4 linked regions of the Drosophila melanogaster genome follow. The protein of the gene in region 4 interacts with the protein of the main gene of each other region in a pairwise test. Each region holds a gene or a part of one and is shown on either strand. Other genes may lie near its edges. The genes, in order: otp, E5, CkIIalpha-i3 and Pbp95.

Region 1 (4,725 bases), on a different chromosome or scaffold from region 4:
CTTTCCGGGCTTAAACGATTGCCAAACAAAGTCAAAAGAGAACGTCGTGCATGCCGAAGGATTCGGAATCCTTTGCATTTGAGCTGCGCTTTTTTTTTCCGCCATGCTTCTTGGTATGCCGGTCCCGGCAACTCAAGGATTTCGCAGCTGTCCTGGTCACAGTCACTATCTGCTGCCCGGATTTGGCCAAAGTGATTTACGACATGCTCATGCCAGGCATTCAAAATGCGGTCTAATTGAGACTCCTTAGATGATTAATCCTTGGCTAATATGGCGAAATTCAACAAGTCTACGCCGCACATTTCCCATAAATTTATTTTTCTTTTTGCTGCCGATAACGCCTTTGATTAATTAACACACTCGAAGTTTTTTTATGTACCTCATGTGAGAAAAGGAAAAAAAATGAAAAGTGATGCATATGCTCTAATAAGTGAGCCCAACAACGAATTGAGATGTTATCACGATTTATTCGGCTTGTTTACTTTATAATACACTAACAGAAAAATTTCTGTTCGATGTTTTCGACATTTGTGTGGGATTGTTATAAGTATTTCACACGTTAGTATGCAAGTTTGTGAAATACAAGACTTAATAGGTTGTGTACAATTATCAATCTAAATTTATTACGCCACTTATTAAATTTTTTAAATTATTTTAGAACGTTTGTCACCCCGCACAAGTGTGAACCTTGAATTATGCTCATTGCAAAACAAACTACAACTGCTGCGATTTTTTGCATTCTTCTTGTGGTTTTAATTGCTACCTAGAGTTTTTAATTAACGCCCCCGATTTAGCTGTATGTATTTGTCGGAGGGAGAAGGCCAACATAATTTGCAGACTTTTGAGGGGCGGTGGGAGGACTTTGAACTGGGCGCAGGAAGTGGGGTGGAAATCCTTTGAATTGCGGTTGCCATGACAAACTCTTATTTCGCCCGGCATTCCGTTGTCTGGCTAATTCAACGTTTGTGCAGCATGCAAAATATTATAAAATTCCGCCAAATGTCGGAGGTACTTCCCCTCCAGCAAAAAGACGGGCAAAAAAAAAAAACGGAAACAAAAACTAATAAACGACAACAGGTGAGGCTGAAAGCTGACACGTGGCATCAACAACGCTGAGTAAGAATTCAAGGCGCATTTTTGGGAGGAGTGGACTTTCAGCAATAACTGTGGCCCAAGCGCCGGTTGCCAACGCGACCAGCTGTGGAGTATAGTTGAAGTTTTTCGAGGGGAATCGAGGTCTGTTTCGGCATCGATGATAGCCCGCCTATCGATAGGCGGCAGGACCTGTTATCGCCGAGGGCGCCAAAAAGTGCTATCGTTCGGGGCCACAAGCTCCCGAGTTCCCTCATTCGTTGGTCTGCATTGAGGGCGTGGTCTGGCCTACGCACAGCGAGTATAGCCGACCCGCTCTAGCAACCACTTGGCAGGGCAAGCGCGAACGAGTCAGCATGCTTGGCTCGACGGCAAGATGGCTGTGGGCTCAGCTAGCTGTCTCCTTTCCTCGCCCGCCCGGGGCACTGGCACGGTGTGTGCTCTTTGCGATTTTTGCAAATCAATGCGAGAGATAAGCCCGCTGGCAGAGATAACGCTTGACTTAACCGTCAATTGTGCGAGGGGGTGGCGATTGAATGCGGCGCCAGTGCGCAGTCGTTGTTGTCGAAGTTATCAGGTTTCGTAGTCAATTCGCTTTGATTTTTTCGCACTGCCCTCAAATGCAAGCGAGCAGCGCTACGTATACGGCGTACAGCTCCCATACGATACAATAGTGCGATCCGAAACAATTCGATCCGTTTCCGTTTGCTAGTGCCTAGAAAGCCGTCGCACTGGCAGAGACCATTAACCGAATTGATCTAACTGGGAAGTGCCAAGGAATAACTAAGTGAAAATGTGCCCGAAGTGTAAAAATGCTATCAATTAAACAGTAGAAAACAAGGACGAGTGACCACACCCGAAGGTGGAAGCAAGCCGTGTCCTCCGCCGGACAGTGTCCGGCTGTCAGTTGGTCAAACAGTTCATCAATAAACGATTCGACTTCCGTTTCATTGCGTGTCCCTAAGCTGTGCATGTCTGCGTGTCTGTGAGTGCGATTGTGTGTGTGTGCCAGCTGTGCGCGTGTGTGTGTGTGTGTGTGGGAGCTAAGGAAACTTTTCAACTTCCGGCCAAGTGACTTGGATTTAATTTCTTTGGCTTTTTTATGGTCAAGGCATTTAATTAATTTTACTATGGCAATTTGATCGTCTGCTGGCCTGAACTCTGACCCCAGCCCATAACCCTGTGGCATACACAAAAAGCAAGGAGGCGGAAAAAGGACGAGCGATAGGAGGAGCCAGGTGAGTCCTTGGCCAAATGAGCAATAAAACTCAATGCAAATGCCCACACAATCGAACTTCGGCAGAAGTTTCTGCGGTTAAGGAAAGTGAAACGGATTTAGTTTTCTGGTTAGTCGCACAATAGTTAAATTACCCAAATAGCTGGACATTTGACAGGGGTCAAAGTTCAAGAGAGGGCTGGGCCAAATATTCACAACACACGAGCAATTAGTATACTTAAATGTTTTGCCAAGACAAAAATCAAACATTCATTTATGATTCCAGAAATCTTGATACATTGTAAGCAGTTTTATTGCATATGATTGTATACTATAAACATAAACAAAAACTTTGCTAAACAAGTTAATGACCATTTTCTCTTGTCAATTTAAAAACTTTTAGTATTGAAAATTAACAAGTACTTCCAAAAAAGCACAAAGTCACCTATGTATGTTTATATTTGCGTTGAGCAGAAGCCACCCATCCAAAAATAACAAATCTGTTTACTTGCAGCCACACCCATTTCCACCGAACAATTGAGATGTAATTTGCACCGCAGGTGAACTTCAACTCCAACGTTCTGTGATAGACGAGTATACGAGCAGGAACTCCCATTGGGATTCCGCCACCACCAGTCGATATCGATTCCCGATTCAATCAAATTGGATCCCGAATCCTAACTTTCGGAGCAGCAATCAGAAACAGCGACAAACTGTCGACTCTGTCGATCCGCAATTTCTCGGCAAACATGCTGAACAATCTTGGGGCCAATGTGCTGGGTAAGTTACGCCCCCAATCCTCGATAGCGTTTTAAGTGCGGGCTGCGGGCGGGAGCTGCGTATAATGTTGCAATTAAGATCGCCAAGTGAATTGCGCTAATGTATAATAATGTGTGTATTAATCCATGGCATACGATCCGCCTGGCCATAATTAAACTAATTTCTTGAGCACACCCACAAAAGATCGGAGGGGTAGTTAGTCGTACTTCCGATCTGGCGATTGCCATCGCATCTCCCATGTCTGCTAAATGGCCTATAATTGAGACGTCTAACCAGATGGCGCCAGGTGTCGCGTGCATTTAGCAATAATTAAGTTGTGTATTTAACTAACTCGGCAAACCTTCTCCGATTCCCATTCCCATATGCCTATGCCCATTCCGAATCGAGTGTGGGTGGGTGTGTTTGTGTTAATTGATATAATTGCTCTTTTAAATATGCCGCAAATTGTGAATTACATTCACACATTCACCCGGCGCACGCACATAATTATCAAACTGTACTTGTGTCCTCATATTAATATATTAATAATTCCGAATACACATATGTACATATGTATGTGCGTGTGTGCAGGTGAATAAATTATTTTTACCACACTGTTGATCAACGATTCAAGCACTTTCAATTTTGGCAATCAATTTGTTGTTAGCCGTCCAACACTACCAGAAAATACAGTTTGCAAGTGCATTTGCAACTGCAACTGCAGCAGCCATGGATGAGTTATGGCTCGCGTTTATATTCAATTTTTATTGCCAGCATCCTTGCGTCCTTCGAAGCGTTGCCATTAATTACTTTTATTAATTTATTGCCATTTTTCACGCGCCAATTGTCGCCGCTCGGTGCACGCGGCGTATGCGTAATGTCCATAGTTGCCATTGAAGATGGGTGTTTAATTAAGGGCTAGCAAGCGAAACTGATCTGACGGTTTGCTATCTGCCATGGATTGCGACTGCCAAAGTTGGCTTTTAAAGTTTTCGCCGGCTTCAACTTTAGCCAGCTCCATTTGCCCACGAAGAACTATAAATTTCAATGAATCGCAGTGCGGAATCCTTTGGACAAATCCTGCCCGCAGTGCTGGAGTCTGCCATAATAAATTTCGTGAGCCTTTTTCCGAGTTTCGCACAACAGAGAGGCCAAAAAACATTTGCATACTGGGTGCGTGGCCGAGAGGGGCAAAAGTGGATGCCCCCCTAACCACCCCTTTACAATTAAGAGCAATTTGCATGCAAAAGAAATGGCAGAACTTTCCCCGGATTCGTATTGTCTCTCCCCTACTAATGCTTAATTTGCATGCAGCGAAAGGAGCTCGAATGGCGTTTCGTTTGGGCGCTTTTTTCGTGAGCCTCGCATTAATTAAATTAATTTCATGATTGCATTTGTAATTTGCACAGACCCCCTTCAGGTTTACCCCCACCCGTCCGTTGCATCCACGAAATATCTGCGCGTGCTTCGCTTTGTGCGTTCGGCATTTTTGCGGTGGCCTAGGCTAGTGAAATATGTGTGCTTAACCCCGCTGAACACCGCTTAACCCCCCACTGCCATATCCGCTTTGCATTGAAATGTTTTGCGGTTGCTGCGGATTCTGTTCCCAGTTGCGGTTAGTTGTTGGAGCAGCCCAGATTCCATGCCATGCCATGCCA
Region 2 (4,794 bases), 5.9 Mb from region 4:
TCATATATCAAGTGCGGTAAATGCCAAAAAATACGCCCACAAAATCATTGATTGCCGATCGATAACCTTTTGCGGTGATGGAGCATCCCATAAAGTTCTCGTCCCAGCTCATTGTCTGACTAATTAAATGATTTATCCCGAATCGTGAGGCAGAGGAGCTGGAAAGGAGATGGGAAAGAGTAAAAACCAATTACAATTACCGCACCCAGAGGTGCCACACTCACAGATATAGATATATGTATACGTGTATACATGAGTGCATCTGCGGCAGCAAAGCTGCTGCCCCACCGACAAGCAACGGCCTTATCTAGATGCATACAAATCCAGCCAAGCGCACGTCAATTTATTTGCCAACTCTCGCCTCCTTTCTGGCCAACATCCATATCCATTCATGGCCAAAAGGAGGAGAATCGCATGTATTTACCTATGAGAAGGCTGCGAAGTTGGCGCTGCATGTTTTATGCCTCCTCCTGCATCTTTAACGAGGTGTTTATTTTCACAACTCACAGCCAGCGGATGAGGATGCGGATAGGGATGGGGATGGGAATGGGGATGGGGATGGGTATACAGATACTCGGATGACCACGCACAGATACAGATGCAGATACGTTCCCTTCCCAGCACGCTGTATCTGTATCTGTGAGATTCGCGCAGTTGCAGCTCGCCGAAGGTGTAGAAACCAAGTTACCGCCCATTTTCGTGTCCAAATGCTTTTGGCCAACATGATGCAGATGCCAATTCAGAATGGTAGAATGGCCAAGCGGCGGGGGGAGGGAAAGTGGTTTATAGCCAGCACTGACGACGGGGCGTCTAAGCTATATAAGCGATGACGTTGATTCCACTGCACAGTGGTATCGGCTCGATATCCTTTGAAAAATGCGTATTTTCTACTTTTGAGTTATGTACAAATTTGAACACTTTTTAATATCGATTTTCCAGTAGATAGTAAATAATTTAATACATGAAAACAATTTAAAAACGGTTACTGATGAAAGATAAACGTTTAAGCCTTAAATATTTCAATGAATAAATACAATTCAATTAAATAAAGTTTCAATTTTTTTTTATTGTTAGTATTTGCATAATTAAAAGAGGGCACAGTTCGCTTTTCAATTTTAAATGTTATATTTATTATATTTATTTTTAATCATCGAAGACCTACTTCCTATCCACTGTTCGGGTGCACCACCCCCGTTCCCCCTCCTACGCTCCAACAAACTGGCCAACCCGCTTGGCACTAAAACCACAAACGCTTTAATGATGCTGTTTTGTTTAGCGCAAATTGTTTGTTTCGCTGTCATAAACTGGTGCGAAAAATGGCCAAGAGAGCGACAGAGAGAGAGAGAAAAAGAGAGAGATTGGGGCCCCTCACACACCCACACACCAACAAGCCCAGAGAGCGGGAGAGCGAGCGAGAGAGGAGGTGGCTCCACTTGGAGCCAAGCAGGTTTTCGGAATATCCACTGAACTATTGTTGCGCTGCTTTGGCGCACGCGCACCGAGCCACGTGTGCGAGCGAGACGCCAGCAGTATTGCTGCGCTGGAAGTACAAGCAAAGGAAGAAGAAGCACACTCGAACTGGCCCCACAAACTTTTTGCGGCTTTTTCCAACGCGACACTCGAGCTAAAACGCTCAGCGTGAGAGCCACGCAGCGATTCGCCGACGCCCCCGCCAAAAATCAGGACAGAAAGAGAGAAAGCGAGAGAGAGACAGAGGTTGCGAGCGGCGAAGTGGAGCCAACAATTAGACGCCTTTAGACGCTCCATAATGCTAATGGCGTTGACAGTGCTCATCATCATCGCAGCGCGGCCACCGCAATCGTTTCGTTACCGGGTAGCCGGCATAACCGTTAACCGTTAACTGATACCGCCACCGCCACCGTCAATCGCCAATAGTCAATCGCCAACCATCAATCGCCGCCGTCAATCGTCCAGCGAAGCGGTACGGTCACGCTCCAATCGCCGCGTTGCCGCCGCTCCAGTTACAGTTACAGTTTATCAATGTCACGCCGACGGATGCCAACCGCTGGAGCATCGCAGATACAACGCTACGTAGCTATATAGCTATAGCTATCTGATCGGAAAAACAGTGCGTGTGTGCTTATCTGATATCTAGTAACCATTAACCGATGTACGCGATCATGTTTCCATAGCACCAACCCATTTATTGGGAGCTTCGATCAGTACAACCCTTTTTCCGTTTCCGTTTCTATTCAGTTCAATTCCATTTCAATTTCCATTCCCTTTGATTTTAGTAGGATTTTTACCGTTTTATTTTATTCCTAAAACTTTTAGTTGAGCATTATTCTTTTATTTACTGATTTATCCCGTTCGAAAATACAAAATTTTTTTTTTCAAAAAAGTCAAATATGGAATGGAAAAAATGGAATTTAAGGCCTACAAGTGTTCTTATAATCTACTTCGACTTGCAGAGACTTCGAATCGGGAAGTTTAAGAGGAGGGAAAGTGATTCATTTGTTTTTCCAATCAACGAAACCCCTACCAAATGGTCACCTGCGGCCGGCAAACGTTCAACATGCTGCCCATGGCGCCGACGAGTCCTTTTGTGAGCAGCAGCTCCTCGGTGGCCGCATCCTCGACTTCCGTTTCCGCCAGCAGTACCGTTTCCGCCTCCGCGAGCAGCAAGCCCAAGCTGGCCTTCAGCATCGACTCGATTGTGGGCGAATCCTCGACGAGATCGGCTCCACTAAGGGTCAGTGTGATATCTTCGCCGCCGCCGCGCAGCGAAAGTCCCGCTTCGCCAACGAACACGAACAACAGTGGGCGCCGGACGCCCAGGGGCTATATCTACTGCCGCAGAAGGGATTCGCTGGATCGATCGCGCAGTCCTCAGAGATCACCGGTTAGCCGGTCGCCATCGCCCCCCAATGCAGGAGGCAATCCGGCAGCGGCCGGGAATACTGCAAAGTCCGGGGATCCATCGTCGGGAACGGGAAATCCTCCAACCCTCATCCGTCCGTTGCCTCTGCCGGCGCCAAATCTAGCTTTAATTGGGAACCGCACCTCACCGAACGCCATGGCGGTGCGCATGGCGGGTCCGCCCCACCCGCCGTCGCAGCCACCGCCGTTCCTTGCCGCCCAGTTCCAAATGGCTGCTGCACTGGCTCATCATCACCAGCAGCAACAGCAGCAGCAACAACAGCAACTTCCGCCCGTGCCAACTGGACCGCCACATGGTCCACATCCGCATCTGCCGCCCGGCCAAATTCCACTTGGAATCTTTCCCGGCGGACCGCATCCCGGGCATCCTCCGCCCCACGGACACCATCCGTTCGGGAGTGCGCCGCATCTGATCCGGGATAGCTATCCGTTGTATCCATGGTTGCTCAGCCGACACGGACGCATTTTTCCACGATTCCCAGGCAGTAAGTAATCACACTGTTTTAAATATATCTATTGTTTATTACAATATTTTCAATAAGTTCAGAGTTCAGAGAAGCTAACCGGTTTAGCAAGCGGTACTTTCATATGTATATAAAACCGCTAAAAATTATTTCTATAAATTGAAAAATATAATTTTTATGCATAATCATCTAAGCTAACAATTATTTGTAATAAATTTACTGCAAAATTAATAACAGTTTATATAACAATAATACATATCATTTAATTTAATATTTACCCTATTCTGATAATAAGAGTACATCTCTCTTTTACGGATTATTAGAAAGATAGTTGTTACATATATATTTTTCATATTTGAACATTAGAATATTATGATAGTTTACGGTCGGTTTCTTCTTCTGGAGATAGCAACCACCCCTTTTGTTGGTTATTTTTCGCTATAACGAGTTTTCCGCATTCATTATAGCCGTTTCAAATGGCCGCTGAGTGTTGCGAGCGACAGAGAAAAAGAAACCACACCTTAAGTCATATTCGAAGCCCAGCACCATTATAGTAGAGAGGACCCCAATCAAGCAATTATTCAGTTATCGCTGTTGTTGCCGCGCAGCTCCATATAATTAAAGTTAAATAAGCAAATGGCAAACATTTATTACAAGTTAATTAGACGTGTATCGGGCTCATCATCATCAGAGGGAGCGGGACGGAGAATGGGAGCGAACAGGAAGGGGGGAATGTGGAGGGAACCGAACCCATTTTGATAACTATTTCCAAACAAATTACATTTTAATTAAATTGTTTAAACAACATTACACACATCGTTAGGTCAAGCAGCGTACCTAAATGGCCAGCCAAGTGTGTGAGTGTGTGTTTAGCATTTATTTGCTCTATTTATACTTTTTCTCTTCACTCGAAATTACCATTAATGGCCAACAGACGGCGCCAGTTACTCATGCGGCGGGCCCATGCGGCGTATGTGTAACGTACGAAAAGTGCAACCATTGAAATGTTAATGCGTTTTTAATTGAGGTTTTGGGGCAACCAAGCAAAGAACCGAGAGGAATGGTAAAAAAAAAAAACTGGCAGATAGAAGCGAAGAGCCACCGCAAAGCGCATCTCAAAAACATTGTCATTTATTACGGTTTAACCACTTTTTTCTACCATTCCGCTGCTCTCATGATTACCATTTGAATTTCCAGGCCATGTTGGTATCCATGTTTTTTTTCGGCCGGTTAAATATAATAATAATTTTCGGCACACTCACACGCCTTTCACCTGCTTAAGTGTACATGTATCCCCGTTACGCCTTAATTATGTTGTACTCCGTTTCATTATTTTCTCCCTTTCTACTTGTTTTCCCATTTCCCGCCGCTCCTTCTCTTTTTTCTCACTTTTCTCCGCGCCGCCTGTAATTTTCGCTTGATTTATGAA
Region 3 (4,287 bases), on a different chromosome or scaffold from region 4:
TACATACCTCAGTCGGAAAGCTTAGAGCATAAAGTACACTTTGTTGAAAATATACAGCAGTTTTTTAGGCACATTAAACAGAAAATATGTGCGGTCGCACGTGTTTAAAGTTGCCAGAGCGAGTGCAACTCAATGACTGAGCATGCGGTCCGAACATTGCAGAGATCTGGACTCTCCTCCGTTTGGCGGAGCGGCAAAAACCGTATCTTTGCGAGAGACATTCCGCTCTTTCTCTCGCGATCTAAACCGACTTCCCACGTTCCGATTCCGATCGTGGTGGTATTCGTTCGCGGTATGGGATTTATTTTCGGATCGAGAGTAAATATTCTCTCGCTAAAGCAGCTATAACTGGTTTAACATGCCGAAAAACACAAATCGCATTACCACCTAATCTGAGCTGAAACTGGTTTGATATGTACACATACATATATATAAAGCTATTTTTGCTCAAATTATATCTAGTGCTTAATTTAACGTTTACCACATTTAAGTGGGACCCTGTTGGTTATTCCACTCTATAAACTCTTTTCGCATATTACAATTATTTACACATTTTGGGTCTTGACTCTCAAAGGCAGGACACACGAACATTTTAATTGTAGATTACATATAAAAACTAAACTTTATTTTTGTGGCGTCAATAAGATCATAGATCGAAATCCTCGTTCTGAGGCGGATTTAAAACTGATTTTTCAACTTCAGTAAGTAGTCCAATGGCCCGATAGTTATCATTTAACATGGCGTACTCCTGTAAGACCTTCACGTAGGCCAAGGCCATATTTTTACAGTCGATGGATTTCAGTGAATTTTGTAAGGAAGCGACTACTTTGGGGTCCACATCGTCTTGACTGGTCTCATTTTCCTCCTGTCATTGAGTCATTTATCGTTACGTTAGTTCTATTACAGTCCAAGGACCTGTTTACTTACCTCAACTGCTGCCGTGTCGTGAGATTCAACAGTCTAAAAAAAAACATTCCAAAATTAAACACATTTTTCAGGTTGAAGAAACAACTAACCTCCTTGATCTCATCTTTTAAGGTCGTTTCCTTTTCCAATGACCCAATTTCCTCTTCATCGGTAAATTCACCATGCTAAGAAAATTAATAATAAGTGCTAATGTTACTGTTGATCTACTTGTACACACCCACCTCTATCTCTATTTTAATTATAGCTTCTTCAGAATCCGTACGCACGCGTACTTCTAATTTTTTCGACTTCGCCTGCAATAATAGTATTAATTTATGTTGCGACTTTTCAATAGTGTCATACCATTATTGGCGTTTTGTTGGCTTTCTTATTTCCTGCCGCTTTTGCTTTTTCATCATCAGACCATTTTTTACACACCTTACAAAGTTTGGATGGACGATTCTTAGTCAGCTTTCTTAGGTATTCACACCTCTTACAGCCACTTTTAATTAGACCGCTTTGTTGCTAGGATTAGTTTTATATTTACTAGCATTTAACTTATCCTTTATATGTTTGGCTATACTCACCAAGCTTACAGCTTCCTTCCACTTGTTGGTTTTTGCATTTAACATATTTCTAGGTTTCTAAAAAAGCATATCGAGTTCAGTCGAAATTCGATCAGAATTCGATGAGAGTTTTCATGAAAACATGGATGGATATTGGAAGCGCAATGAAAATATGTATAAGTTCTTTTGTAACGGTTCTTACATTGATCAGCTTTGGTTTCTCAGTAAGTTGCTCAGTTTTGTCCATCTTGGCCTCCGTCAGCTGGACCAGGCGATCCCGCCACCTGCGGCAGATTCTCTTGGTCTTGCGCTGTTCCTGCACCAGTGAGATTGAGCTGCCCACTTGGAACTCGCGCTGTGTGGGATCGGTCTTTGCCTGGATTTTGTTCCTCATCTCCACCATTTGCTCTATGTATTGTTTGACCTTGATGATTTCGGCATCCTGCAGGCCAATCAGAATGTCCCTGTACTTCCCAATAAGTCCTTTGAAACGTATCACTTGCATGGCAAGCATCATGGACTGCGCCTTGTAGGACGTACGCTTCGAGTTATTCTTCTCCTTCTGGATGACAGTGCGCAGCTGATCGAGCTCGCCATAGGTATCATTAAGGTAGCGGATGGCATTACGAAGATTTGACTCCGCTGTGGCAAAGGCGGTAGCATCCGGTGGACGAAATCCTGGCGGGGCAGGACCCAGTGCAAATAACCGGGACTGCAAGTTGTCCGATAAATTGGATTCCTTTTCCATAAATTTAACAAAACTTAGACTTCCACAATATGCTTTTTTGTAGACTTCAGATTGGTATTGCCCATCCGATGCATTTAGGGTTGCAATTTCGAAGTTATCGATAAAGTTTGCTTCATTTGATCAATATTGCATAATACTATAACTTTTTATTAACTGTATTACATGTTTTCACGATACTAGTTAATTCTTTTCAATTATGTTTGAATTTTCTATTTTGTGCAACCGAAGGTCTTTTCTTGAACCTTTAGTGTCATATTGGTGCTGCCAGATTTTTCGGTTTTTGTCAATTTCCAAGACGAACTTGCTTACAGATCGGCGTTGATCTCGGCAGGATTCACTTTGTTACTCTTCAAAATACTAATAAGATTTCAGAAATGTTGGTTTTTCTTGTGAAATTCCTTTAGATTGTTGTAACTATAGGTTTTAGAAAACGGTATTGCCACAGCGCAATATTTTAGCCAATACCCAAGCCAGATTTGTTTAGAACCAGATTCATTTTTCAGTGGTGTTAGCAAGTGCATGAACCATATTTAAATAAAGTAAATTAAAGTATATATATTATAAAATATTAAAATCTTAAATATAGAGGTATAAATTAGGTATGTGCCTTATCTTATCTTTGCTTTTCCAGTAGATTACGTGCTTGTTTATAAGGACACTACGTTTGATCCACCTCGAAGTCCTTGATCTGGGCTGGATATTGAATGGCGTGCTCCACCTGTATTAGCAGTCCTATGGCCCTGAAATTATCATGGATCATGGCGTACTCCTGGAGCGCTCTTAGGTGTCTCAATGCCTCTTCGTCGTTGCTGATGGAGATCTCGGCCGCAGACTCTGACAAATCATTAGTATTGGGTTCGGCGGCATTAAAGACTGTAAACTGTTCCCCATCCCGCTGCCGATCCGTTTGCACTTCGTAGTCCTTCTGGATCTTGATATCGACATCATCCAATGGCTGCTTTCGTTTGCGATACGTACGCATTTGGCGGGGAATAACTGTGCTGACAGTGGTGCCCATAGACAGCATCCTGCCTTTCTGGATACCGGTCTCCAAACTGACCACCGCTTCATCGAAATCATTGATGGAAAGTTCCTGCGGCGGTGGGACAGGGTCATCCTTTAGAATTTCGGACATCTCGTCGTAGAACTGCCAGTTTGGATGGAAATGCGGTACCTTCGCCAGGAGCTTGCTCCTTATGCTATAGTAGGTCTTCTTCAGGTTCCTAAATTTTCGATCCAGCTGAACTGCATCGATATCTGTCATTCCCTGGCTTTCAAGGGCAACGACCATTTCCCCCCAAATGTCCTTGATCTTTTTTTTCGGATCCCGAAAATCAGCTTGGCGTTCATTGTAAAGGGACAATAAAAGTCGGGTGTTGGATGTACACCACTTCCTTTCGTAAGCTGGCTTATTGTGAGTATATATATAGTTTTCTTCTTGAATTTATGTTTTTTACTCACACTTTGTATCCATTGTTTACAATAGCTATTCAGTTGATGACGAATAAGTTTTGTTTCCCAGGCTGCCAGTTCTTTCGGACGGCGTAAGAGAAAGGTATCATGATCCAAACATATGTGTTTCGATTTTTCTCTATCGATAACTATCGAAAAGGTTGCACGAAACAAAGATGGGAATAGGCTTTCGTTTTTTGAAAATGGATTTTTTGCCTAATCTATATCAATACTCGCTACCGAAGAGAACATTTATTTTATATAAATACTCATCTTAGCCTCATTTAATTGCCATTATGTAGTTTTTGAATTTAAAAATCTCGCAGTAAGGATTTAGTGAGTACTTGCCGCAGGTTGAGACCTCCCGCAACTTAATTATAGAAAGTTAATATTGAAATGGACCTACATACATTACAAATAAGCACATAACTATTACTGTGCTGCCATCTACCGGCAATGCGACTTTCATTTACAGACGCTAGATGTCGCCCAAACAGTTCGTCGATAGGGGCGCAGTAGTATAAATGTAAAATAACCGGGTACCGTATACTCGAGTATACACAGTAAAAAAAAGTTTAATAAACCAATATTGATTTTTGTAGTAATAAATTTGTT
Region 4 (4,917 bases):
CTTGTTGTCAATTAAAATTACGCTTTAAATGTTGCACGTATGAAGTAAAAGTACGGGATGAAGCGACTTGTCCATCTCTGTGAATTGATGTTCCGTTTAGCAAGCCCTTAAACTTAGGATTATAATATTAATTGTTCCTTGTCCACACTTCACAGATATTCAGATGCTGACTCTGTTGGTCCCTGTGCTCATTGGCTTCCTAGCGGAACCCAGTCGACTCCGGACGCTGCCAAAGTATCAACGGCAGCTGCACGACCAGGCGCTGCAGTGGCTACTGAAGATCGGTCCGAAATATCCGCAGGAGTTTAAGGCCCTGATGGGTCAAACACCGGAACTGCGACAAAAACTAGAAGCGGCCATTCGCAGCCAACAGCAGTCGATTAACATTGCCCAAAAAGCAAGCGAGGCGCAGAGGAACCTGCTGGCCAAGCCGCAGAAGCCTACGATCAAGCTGAAGACGGATTTCAGTAACTTCCAATGAGCGCCTCCCCCGGGAATCGAACAAAATAGTTCTCAAGCTGCTAGTGCTATCATAAAAATGCTTTGTAATACATTGTTACCGCATGAACAATAGGATGGATCGGTTCTTTTTATATTGAAAATAAGGTTTAGACAATTTTGCTCTAATAACTAAATATCCGGGATAAAAGTTTTGAAAGGATTGTAAAACGGCAACTAAAATATACATTAGTTTTTTTGACTGCTTGTGTATTAAATTGTTTCGTTTTGCAGGGCGTTTTGCTATAAATATACCTTTTTTCAAACCTAAGCAATATTTTTAAACTACAATCAGAAAAATGAGCCACCCTAATGCACATCGGTCCGGCATTTGATTTTGCTGTATGTGAAATACGTTAAAAGTACCTACAAGTTTATAAATTATTTGTTAGCCATTGTAATGAACTATTATATAACGCGATATGAAGTAAAAAATATAAACTTTTAAAGCTTAAATTAATCAATATTACATATTTACTTATTAGTTCCTATGGAACTGTATATTCCATTTCCAATTCCTGCTTGACTGTATTAATCACTTCATTCTCGCTAAGCGGCTCGGATTTTAGATCATTCTGTGGTGCCGGCTCTGGATCGATTAATTCAACATGTGTACCCATTTTTGCATAATCGTGTTTGGGGCGTGGTAAAGAAACTAATGCTGATGGTAAGTCCGTAAAGAGTTGTGATTCCAAGCGGCTGAGAAGAGTGGTACGATAGAAAAGAGCTTGCAACCGCTTGCGGAAAAGCTGGATGGGTGGTAAAGATTCATTGTATTCGAAGCTACGTGTTTCCGTATCCTTGCGACAATCTCCGGAAAGAATGCATAAGGCTCGAAACCCCATCATAGTTGACCAGTTGGGTGGCAAAAGTGGGCTCTTCATATCACCTTCCTCGTCCGGAAGGTTTCGGATCATGCTGTTGTAGCACTTAAGCACATCATTTGGCATAAATATGTTTTGTAAGAGCGAGGGTCGAATTGGTGGCTTATATGCAAGAGCTCTGATCACGTAGGCAAGGTTATAAACGTCTTTTGGAACTGGAAAAGTTTTTGGAGTGCTCAGCGTCAGATTATAACTAAACTTAAAGAAGTTGCAGAACTCTATATCAACTTTCGAAAGTCTTGAGAAACTCTCTGCCTGTCGCTCGATCCTAGCCTTTTTCGATTTGGGACCGCGCACCCGAGTTCCTTTCGGGGGGTTATCATTAACTAATGACTCTGGGTCCTCTTGCCACTCTTGCAAACGCTGCGCCCAGTTATCAGAGTTAACCAAGGACACCTTCTTCGATCGGCGGCGTGGCAGGTCTTCCACTTTTGCATTGGGATTTTGTTCAAGGAATTTCTTGATGACTAGGAAGCGGGTTCGACAGCTGGTCCGCGTGTGATTGCCCAAGAACGTGGCACAGTTAAGCCACTGGGAAGCCCCGTATTGCGTTACGAAGCTCATCAGCCGTGTGTCGTCCTGAACGGACCAGGAGTCGGTCTTGTTGCGTTGTGCCAGTACATTGTGGTAGCGAGTTCGGAGTTGGGTTAACGACCGGTTTGGGAAAAGAGAACGCGGAAAACAGTGAAACTTTCCATTGTACTCTTCAACGGCGGCGAACAGCATCATGTCCTCCTTGGTAGTGAAGGGTTCTGCAGTTTCAAAGGAGCGAAATAATAAATTAAAAATTATTCAATATATTGGGTACCTACCGTGACTGATGCTAGGATGCAACACGTAGTAGTAACGACCAATCAGCGTTGATTTGGACTTGTCCGGGAAGTATTCCACGACTTTTTTCCAGTTTATTACACTGTTTGCCGTATTCCTATCAACGATCGCCCTTAGTTTATCGTTGTCCTCTTCGCTCCAGCGGTGGCTGTTCTTTGGCTCCAGCAGAAAACGTAGGGCGGTATGAAAGCGTACGAAGCACTGATAGTCGGAACGTCGGTCTAGCGACGCGGCTATCAACTCCCAGTTCTGCATCCTGTTCGCAGTGGCCACCGCCAGTAAAGTTTCGTCCTCCTCGGGTGACCAATCGTCTCGCCTGAGATCTGGTGTTAAGTAGACCCTCCACATTGCCTCACAGCTATATGGTGAGTGCCGATATTCCAAGTCCAGGGTGCTGATCTGGTTCCAGTCGATGCTGAAGCTACTATCCGCAGTTGCCAGCAGACTTACCAGTGTACTTAAGTGTCGCTCGATTGGCTTGCGCTTCAGGCTTCCGCTGGGCAGCGCATTCGTACTGTGGGCCCTATGCTCCAGTAACTGAGAATTGAGTTTTTTATAAAACAGAATATTAGTATTGCTATTTAACTTTTCATTGCTATTAAATGGGTATTTGGCAATCAATCTGAACCACTCGAAGGGTCCACTCACCTGTTGTTTTATACCCATTATCACATTCTTTTTGTCTAGCAATGTCCATACATGTCTGGAGTGCATGTCAAAGTCGGTGGGAAACATCTCCGTGTGGCACCGCGCCTCGTAATCCTCGTTGTTAGGACAGCTTCGACCATCGATGTCTCGGAAAAACAGGTTGCCCTTGAAGCGAAACGTGCCCTTCCGCAGGATCGCCCCGCTAAGATTGAGGGAATTCGGGCCGAAATGGGAACGAGGTCGCAGCCGGCGCACCAGGATGTCCTCGTTCCGAGAGAAGCGGGCCCTTACTACTTGTAACATGGCCAGAATTTTGGTCCGGACTTGCATGAGCCGGCGCTGGAGCTCCTGATTCAGCTGCAGTGCGTTGGCGGCGCTCGGCTTCGCTGTGTTCTGCAAGAGGGCCGAAATCTCGTCCATAAGCTGCTGCTGGTTTATGCGCAGATCATCGGCATCGTCCATTGCTCAGGTTGTTTTGTTTACATTGCCTTTGACTTTAGCGATGAACTATTCCCGGCATCAACTATCGATAAAATGGTTGCAATGGTCGAACTGCATTAAGCAAATTAATACCCTGCAAATAAAGTAACATTGAACATTACATAGGAAATTGCTGTATTATTGGACTAAGACCTATTAAAGAATAGATAGAGATAAAATAGATATCATAACTGCCATTTTTCGTCCTTATTTATTCCCAGAAACTTTGGTTTTATCTAGTGGAAAGAACATGATTTCAATAAACTCAGTTGTAAAAGCGCGGGATTATTTTAAACAAAAGTTTGGTCAAAAATAGTTTTTTAGAATAAAGATCTTAAAACTATCCGCCATGCACTAAATAATGATACCCTTGGTAACAAAAAATATTTAGTATGTCAAAATGTTTTGTAATTTTAATTTTTTTATGTTGTATAACGTGATCTGTAGAAACTATTAATGTATTCCGATTTTTGTTAAGCCTTTCATACGCCCTCAAATTGGCGAAAATTTGGGTAGATTTAATATCAGCTGTTGTCAAACTCGCAACCAAGCCTGAGTACACCTAATTAGGTGAGCATCTCAAGGAAAAACGATATTCAACACTAGTCGAAATTGGCGAATCAGCAGTGACCGATGACAATACCAATCGCCTATCGCTGCTGCTCGAGAAACAACAAAAGAGAACAGAGAAAAAAAAACGCGTAGTAGCAACTTAATTAACAAAATTCGTGGTGAATGCGCTAGCATAACATGGAAGATGTCCCGGTCAAGATAGTCGAGCGCTACAAACCACCGCCTGCCGTGTACCACCTGCCGCAGGCGACCCTCAATCGCCTGTCGCAATTCCGAGAAGGTTTCTACACGGATCATCCGGATTACCAGTATGACTGTCAGCTGGAGAGGGCCGTGCTGAGTCAGGCGCAACGATGGCGCCACCTGCGTCGCCAGCAGCGCGAGGAGCGAGCCAGTCGCCAGGAGCGTCGCAAGGAGGAACGCCAACGGGCGCTGGAGGCGAGACAGAAGGAGATGCTTGGAGCAGTTGATTATCCTAGTGCGGACGACTTGTCATCGGATGAGGACGAGAAGGAGCGAAAGAAGAACGAGCCCGAGCAGAGGGACGAGGAACAGCAACAGCAGCCACCACCTCCAATCACCGCTGAGTCACGCGACTCTTCCCACGAACCAAAGTCAATAAGTGTGTGTAATTTTCACAATATCTTGCAGCCCACCATTCTGAGCACCACTCCAGTGGTCAGTCCGCAGACGCTGCACAAGCGTAACAGCTCCCTAAACTACGCAGACTTTGAGTACAATATGAACTCCACACCTTTCGACAATATCGAGCTGAAGACCATCAACGATCTAGACATACTAGCTCAGGTTCTGCACCAGACACAGCTGGAGAAGCGCATAGATCAACAGCAGCAGGATCAGCAGCAGCAGGAGCCGCCGCATGAGGATCATTCCAAGGAGGAGCAATCTGGCAATGAAGTGCCAGCTCCGGTGGAGCTAGCAATGACTACGCTGGCGGAGACCAAAGCGACGCTCGACAGCGTCAATTTCCATGTTCACTGTG

What was found.
Region 1: the proteins of Pbp95 (region 4) and otp interact in a two-hybrid assay, tested with the Drosophila melanogaster proteins (one large-scale study listed by BioGRID).
Region 2: the proteins of Pbp95 (region 4) and E5 interact in a two-hybrid assay, tested with the Drosophila melanogaster proteins (one large-scale study listed by BioGRID).
Region 3: the proteins of Pbp95 (region 4) and CkIIalpha-i3 interact in a two-hybrid assay, tested with the Drosophila melanogaster proteins (one large-scale study listed by BioGRID).

Annotation. Positions count from the first base shown.
Region 1 is NT_033778.4:20,900,391-20,905,115, reverse strand, and holds the start of otp (orthopedia), read left to right. Parts: upstream 1-1,701; 5' UTR 1,702-2,330; intron 2,331-2,822; 5' UTR 2,823-3,057; coding exon 3,058-3,088; intron 3,089-4,725. UniProt on the Drosophila melanogaster protein: May be involved in the development of the central nervous system.
Region 2 is NT_033777.3:13,871,892-13,876,685, reverse strand, and holds the start of E5 (E5), read left to right. Parts: upstream 1-1,769; 5' UTR 1,770-2,089; intron 2,090-2,432; 5' UTR 2,433-2,506; coding exon 2,507-3,386; intron 3,387-4,794.
Region 3 is NT_037436.4:708,064-712,350, forward strand, and holds CkIIalpha-i3 (CKII-alpha subunit interactor-3), read right to left. Parts: upstream 2,299-4,287; 5' UTR 2,295-2,298; coding exon 2,247-2,294; exon of another isoform or gene 2,221-2,246; coding exon of another isoform or gene 2,185-2,220; coding exon 1,675-2,184; intron 1,551-1,674; coding exon 1,494-1,550; intron 1,432-1,493; coding exon 1,270-1,431; intron 1,221-1,269; coding exon 1,149-1,220; intron 1,092-1,148; coding exon 1,017-1,091; intron 961-1,016; coding exon 928-960; intron 866-927; coding exon 647-865; 3' UTR 538-646; downstream 1-537. Other genes in the region: CG13896 (uncharacterized protein), read right to left, coding at 2,879-3,624, 3,682-3,694.
Region 4 is NT_033777.3:8,012,244-8,017,160, reverse strand, and holds Pbp95 (PSEA-binding protein 95kD), read right to left. Parts: upstream 3,371-4,917; 5' UTR 3,324-3,370; coding exon 2,862-3,323; intron 2,751-2,861; coding exon 2,195-2,750; intron 2,135-2,194; coding exon 987-2,134; 3' UTR 551-986; downstream 1-550. Other genes in the region: CG2747 (uncharacterized protein), read left to right, coding at 156-481; CG10435 (uncharacterized protein), read left to right, coding at 4,092-4,917.